Drosophila melanogaster: one gene and its partner. The protein of the gene in region 2 interacts with the protein of the main gene of each other region in a pairwise test. Each region holds a gene or a part of one and is shown on either strand. Other genes may lie near its edges.

The links.
Region 1: the proteins of CG9377 (region 2) and CG7786 interact in a two-hybrid assay, tested with the Drosophila melanogaster proteins (one large-scale study listed by BioGRID).

What each region holds. Positions count from the first base shown.
Region 1 is NT_033778.4:16,233,724-16,237,024, forward strand, and holds CG7786 (uncharacterized protein), read right to left. Parts: upstream 1,214-3,301; coding exon 635-1,213; downstream 1-634. Other genes in the region: CG15701 (uncharacterized protein), read left to right, coding at 1-263; CG3687 (uncharacterized protein), read left to right, coding at 3,133-3,301.
Region 2 is NT_033779.5:13,359,244-13,363,364, forward strand, and holds CG9377 (uncharacterized protein), read right to left. Parts: upstream 2,323-4,121; 5' UTR 2,241-2,322; coding exon 2,025-2,240; intron 1,551-2,024; coding exon 699-1,550; 3' UTR 658-698; downstream 1-657.

The DNA of each region.
Region 1 (3,301 bases), on a different chromosome or scaffold from region 2:
TGCTCCTAAGTGGCAGCGGTCTGCGCCAGCATCTCGTCCAGGCCCTGATCCTCTCCAGCGACGGCTGGCAGCTTTCCGCCCTCACCAATGGCACTGTGCGTCACTACGATTTCTATCGCGACAGAGAGTTACCCGTGGAGGAGCTCATGGACACACGCCTCAAGGTGACGGACATTGCCGGTGCTCGAAGTTGTGGACAGGAACAGGTTCTGCTCATCCTGGACTCGACTGGAAAGGTGCAGTCGCGCACTCTGGACTACTAGCTTGTTAAATATTTTCTAATTATTTGTATGCGTTTGTTGAAATCATTTTTTAAAATGAAATAAACTCGAACTAGTCCTACTCACTTTTAATCAATTTTAATGGTTTCTATTGCACAATTTGTGATATATAAATGATATATATATGACTTTATAGAACTATAGTACTAGCACTAGCAAAATACTCTATATAGATGGGCCAATATTTATATATCTGAATAACATATTTTTTTAAGGGACACCTGCATATGCATACATATATTATTAGAATATCCTTAGTATTTATTTTAAACATTTATTAACATCAAACTAAATAATCTCACTAGCTTCCCTCATTGATATGTACACTTTTCCATCTGATCCCGCAGAGTGGTTCACACCTGCCTGGCCATGGACAACATGCCGCCGGCTGTTGTGGCTCCGAGGAGCTGGCGCACCGTTTGCAGTTCATCCCGCAGCGCCAGGACCTGCGCCCGCAGAATGGAGTTCTCCTGCTCCAGCAGCGCTGCTCGGAATGCTATCCTATCCTCGCGGATTTTCCGCGCATCTCTGGACCTCTTGGCCGCCTCGTTGTTTCGCTTGCGCCGCTCAAAGTACTTGGCATCCTTTTGAGCCTCCGGAATGGGTCGCTTTTCACCGCGGACGCGACGGTGCACAAAACCCGGAAACATACCGCCTCCAATTACGCCCACACGATTGAGCTCCATCAGCGGAAATTCCAGTGCCTGGAGAGCGTGACTTGGTGGTGCGATATACTCGAAGGCGGGTAGAGTTTCCGACGATCTCTTGGCACCGATCATGCCGGGAAAGCCCAGACCGGTTAGCCGAAGATTCTGGGGAATGGAAATGGAGTAGGACGGATTGTTCTTGGACTCCAGTTCCGCATCCAGTTCGGAGTGCATCGATACGGTCTCGGTGACATCCAAAATGGGCGACTGGGCGGGCGAGTGCATCCTATATCGGTGACTTCCGTTCGCGCCGACGGCCGGGCTATATCTGAATCCAGCTCCTGGCTAAGAAGCTAGCTACTGGCGAGGCGACCACCTGCCTGCCGTGGTAATTATAGGTTCTTGTCACACAAACTCCCCCACGTACACACACACACACACACATACACCCGCTTTGGGGCTAATTCTAAGCCAGCCACAACCCTCCATCGCCGGCTGATTCAACCAATCACGCAATGTTGACGGTAATTATTCGTCAAATACATGACACTTGGCCGGGGCCGCATGGCATTTATTTGTGCTGCCCGGTTACAAGGACTTCATATAACTGGTTAGCCAGATTACATGCCCCCAGCCCAGTCCAGTCCACCTCTCCCCGCTCGCCGATCACTTCTTGGCCCTTGGAGTTGACCAACTGTTATGTGTTGGGGCGGAGATAGTAAGGCTTACCCATTGTCCATGCGCTGACCAATGAGAGTGACCCTTGGCTATCGACCGGCATTTTGTGGACGAATATAACAGCGATAACAGCGGTAATAGTCTGAAAGAGGCGTGGTGGAAGCCTACTTGCACTCACTGAAAGTTATCCTTTAGGATATCTTACTATATAGCAAAACATGGGGTAATGTAAAATGTAAATCATGAATATGCAATTTTTAGTCATTACATTAAAATGAAGCCATCTTATTTGAACCATTATACAATAGATATACTTTTTTTGATCCTTAAACTGATAGTTCTTGTAGATTCCTATCACTCCAAATCATTTTATCAGATATTCTAGGCATAATATATCTTCAATTGCTCTATGTGAACTTTTTATTTCCGAGGTTTTTTGAGACTTAAAGGATTTTTCCAGCGTGTACCAATCGATTTCAATAGTCCTAAGAGGAATAGCTTCTGCTCCTTTTTAGCTGAGCTCCAAAAACTGCAGCGTCAGAAAGTTGCAATATGCCTAATCCGCTATTATTAAGACATCAAAAAGTTGTTACCAACTTTATTTTGATCAAGCATGATTCTTCAAAATCGTAAAATTTTACTTGCCTTCCGACAATGCCACTCACGACATCCAAGACCACCGTATGCATATCCAACAACCATCGACATGTAAATGAACTCCGTGTGTCGTCTTTAACCCGTTCCGTTTCGTTTCGGTTTGAGAAAGTGTCACCTGTTTGTTTGCCGGGGTGGTAAATTGGCAGTTTGGGTCACGGAGTCCTTGCCGTCTCCGGCAACCGGAAGTCGCATCCTTATGGCGTTTCATAATGTATGCGCTAATTTATTATCTGTTGGCAAAAGTTTGGGCCATACATAGTTAACCCTTTGACTGTCATGCCACCGATGTTTCGTTTATGGTGTTTTGGCCCAACTGAGAGCCGAACCCGGAAATAATGGATTGCGTGCCGGAGTGACATGTCTGGAGAATTGGAGGCAGTCTAATATCCATCAAAGGGTCGAGCGAGATGGATTCGAAATGCACACATATAGAAAGCAGTACGTTTTGGAATCGGTTTGAATTGGTTGGCATTACCAAACCACCAAACTTCTACTCTACGGACTGAGTTCGATTTTTTTTTACCCACCCCGGGGACCCATTGCTAATGCATTGGGAGGATCGTTTTGGACATAGGCTATTAATGCGTTAGACAAATTACCGGGTAATCTAGACAGTAGAACACGTTATTGCTTCGTTGTTTGTTTGGTCAGTAATTGAAGAGCAAACCTCGTGGACTTCGCGGTGGACAAACCGTTAATGACACCTTTAATTGGATGACATTAGCACCCGGGGGTCTGGGGCATGACCAAGTGGGCCCTGCCCCCATCCTACAGTCAAAGCATAGGCTTCGCTTAGCCTGTCTCTCGGAATAGTATTCATCTAACAAGTATTCATCGAACAAGGAAATCGTATTTTTATAAGCAACGAAATGTGTGACGAAGGATCGATCAGGGAATGTGAGCCCACCACCTTGCGGCTTCCTTTCAACAGCTACCACATCAATTTGCCGCTATATATTTTGGACATGGTGCGCATCTTCCAGGATCATCCCAAGTACAGCAATGGTATCCACGAGGAGCACATTCTGGAGATGCTGG
Region 2 (4,121 bases):
ACCAAGGCGGGTGGACAAGGATATGCAAAGCGGCGACCACATATCGCCGAGCCATAATTCAACGCGAGTTGCCACAATCGCATTCGACCCAAAGGACAAATGAGAGTCCTGCGAGTGACCCAAACCGTCAGTCAGGCGTAAAGCGCTAATAATTAACAGCGATTCTGCTTTACCGACGAACTAAGCACCCATCGACATGGAAGCTTTATTTACGAATCCGTCCAGAAGGTAATTCTAAAACTTATTTTTTAGATTTTCCGACATCAGCAGAACATCCAAACTGATTCCCATGATGCACGCCACGCATGGAAATAATGGAAGCAGATGCTTCTTCTAAAATCTCTGAACTTATTAGGAAGAAGACAGAGTGCAGTCCACATGCACAATGTCTTCCTTGTAAGACTCTTTCCTGGAGTTTATATTGAAGCAATTGACCATCAGCAGGCAAAGAAGTTGGGTGTCCATGGAGGCCACTCAAAGTAGGAACACTACTGAAGTGACAAAGCCTTGCCGATAGTCATGGGTCAGTAGAAGTTTATTATATTACATATCTGATAATCTGATCAGGAAAGCTGGTCACGAAAGCTGCTTAAAGTCCATCGAAATGAAATATTACTACCTTATACCATAGGTAACACGAAACACATTCATGTGTTTGATAATGGATTCAATGTTTTATTAGTTTCTCAATAATTGTTTCACACCATGTAGTGTCGTATATCAAGATTGCGTTCCCTTAGCTTCAAATCGATCCACTGCCGGTACAACTTGACGTTTGTGTAAATTCCAAGAAGTTGCGGGCCATCGCAGCGAGCCGTGCGGGTCAAAAGACCGGCCAGGTGGAAACGATCATCGTGACCGGAAAGAGGACACATCAGCGGCACAGCGGTCATGTCCACATCACCGCAGACGAAGTCACCCTTGTCGCCGCCGGCACACAGCAGGCTATCGTTGTGGGCGTGGCGTCGCCCCAAGAGGGACAATCGCAACTTGGTCCTGCATTGATCGGGTGGTAGGACGTAGAGTGTCCAACGCTTGGGCAGGATTGCAGCTCTACCAAAATCACTCCTCTGCCAACCGGACACATAGCACTGGCTGTAGTTGTACATTATTCGCGGAGGCGGCAAGCAAATGGGCTGTACATTAGGAGCCAGCTGGAAAGGTTTCTCCTTGTCCACCAGAAGTATCGCTATGTTGTGGGCCAATGGCATTTGAGTGTAATTGGGATGCACTAATGTCTCAACAACCGATCTTTGCTGGTGCGGCTGGGGCTCCAGCTCCACGGCGGCATCCCATTCCCCGGCCAACAGACGAACCTTCTCCATTTCCGAATTCTGAACGCAGTGCGCGGTGGTGATCACCGCCAGCGGAGTGATAAGTGCTCCACTGCAGAGATAAGTATCCGACCCGTAGACCGCCACCAACCAGGGAAACTCCCCGAACTTGGCCTCTTGCTGTTTATATCCCAGCGGTCGAAGGTAGTACCAGAGATCATGGCGTCCTCCACACGGGCAGCTCATCATCTCCTCTGGAATTTTCGGAGTCGGGAGCTGTTGGTATAAAAGTTCGACTTTTAAAAACTTATTGATTTGATTTTACTTCAGGCAATTAAATGAAATTAAGTTAAATATAACAACAGTGTTAAGTGCTTGGCCGCTAGAAACTGAAAAACAAACGAATTTTTTTCGTAATATGGGTAAAATATATCATACAAATTTAAATTGTCAGCTAGCATAAAAAAATGGTTGATTTCTTTGCATCAGGTAGGGAATAAAAGAATTTTTTCGATAAATCGCTTTATTTTTTTGACCGGTTGTAACCAGTTAATCATTAAATGTGGCTGCAATTCAGAAAGCCAACCGGTTTAAAATCCAAAAGGTATTAAATTTAAGAGCGTCGAATCAAGGATTGTTTGTTTTTTTATTTGATTTAATTCCAATGCGATTTAAACCATTTTTTTAGTCAAGTTTTTGATACCGCATTCCGGAAAACTTTATGAAAATCGTAACTTTTTCAATACTCACTTTATCGGGGATATTACAGCACTTTTCCATATAGTGACAATTCTCATCCAAAGTCGTTCTGCTGCGATCCGGATAGAATTTTCCGTCCACCATTAAGCCCTCGTTGCACTGCTCGTAGGGAACGCAATGCTTTTCCGGTCCGCAGACTTTGGATGCCGCTATGGAGGGCACTAGGGAGCCTAGAAGACAGATGACCACAATCCGATAGAAGCACATATCCGAGGATTCCGATTCCGATTCCGTCCCTGAACAGGTGCCTTCGCCTTGCACTTGAACTGCGCAACTGGGCGACCGATGGCTTTTATAGCCTCGCCAAAGTTCAAGCCGTACACACCGATTTGATTGGGCAAAAAATAGATTGCGATCCATTAAAGTGCTAAAAATAGTCGACATTGTGCTGGGAAAAAAGGGGCTGGACCTGGACAATATGACAATTGGTTTCGGCGGCAATGCACTGAGAAAATATAATCACAGTTTATAATACATTCTAGGCCAGCAAATGGTATTTGCAGTTATTGGTTCTAGCAAAAGATAGATTTGATAGATAGTTCTGTCCTTAAAGATACTTTGTGAAGTTGTCCCTTGGAAAGGGTATCCACTCTATGCCCAATTACGCAGATGTATCTGGCACTTTCCTTAGTCTGCCGCCACTTACACGTATCCATATCTATTACATTCGAATGGGACTGAAAGTGGGGGAGGATGCGGATCAGCTGTGCACTGGCTTAGGGATTGTGTCATATCTTAATGTACAATCGTCGCCTAAGTGCACGTAAATTGAATAAAATTTCGACAAAGTTTAATACACCAGACATGCACATGCACACAACACTCTGAGGAAAATGAGGTGGCGACAAGATGGCTTGGGTTTTTCCGGGCAGAAATCTGCAGTTTGCCTGCCATTCGATAGACAACACCCAGCTTTCAGCATCTGGACAAATGTATATATATATATATATATTTGATGCACCGACTTGTTTAGCTGAGATTTACGCAACTTAAGCAGATTGTCAACAGGAATTGTGAGGTATGAGTTCGAATCGAGGACCCTGAGGTGGGCGAACAAGAATGCCAGGAGGAGAGTACATGCGTCAAATGTGTAGAAAGTTAACGTGTCCTGTGCCTGCCTGCTGGTCCTGTGCGAAACTTAATTTGTTCCATCGTGTTGCAACACTTCTGAACAGATGTTATCCTCGAGGAAATGAATCCTGTTATTGTTGCTGGCCGTCCACTTAAAACAGATTTATGAACATGTCACACCCTCTTCACTCGCCATCGATTCCCCCTTGCGGTGGCAAATATTCAATTATTATGAAAATTTATTATTCAACCAATTGTGCTGGGCGGATCGGAAGTTCATTTTGCATGAATGGGATCAAAACTGTTTGTAAATTGTGCTGTGCATCCGTATGAATCGCTTTTTATGCGCCAATAATACATATACCAACCGCAAAATGCCATCATCAAAGGATGGTTCTTATGCAATTTGCAATCACAATTTAAATAGATAAAGTATAAGCAATTGCATTAACATATTAATATATAGCATTAATCGAATCCTTGTGGTGTGAATTAAATGCCAGTCATAAAAAATTCGAATTTTAAGAAAATTTAATTGTGACTATATGAATGCTTCCATGCCAATAATACAGTTCCATATATTAAATATAATTCAGAGAATTAAACATATTAAATTAGTCTAACCACAGTAACTTTAAGCATTGATAAGTGTCACTAAAATGGCATTTAACATTTGAGTATTATTTCTGCAACTTTTTAAACTCATTCTCAGTTTTTTGTCTCAATTGAGTGTTTTGATTGAGTGGGTGTTTTTAACTCTCTTAGCTGCATATTCCTCCCTTAAATGCAGTTTTTTTTAGCTCAACTACCAATTGAGTGAATGTTAACGGAATGTTAACTGCAATCTCAAGACTCAAGCGCAGTTCTGAGTGAGTCAAATATGTGGCTTTGAGTGGAACAGACTAAGCTCATAAGAGTCATGAGCAGTATTTTGACGATTCTTTTGCCCAACCATGATATAAAATAATAATGACATATTTATTTTCAAAATGTTGGTATAATAATAAGCTATTAACT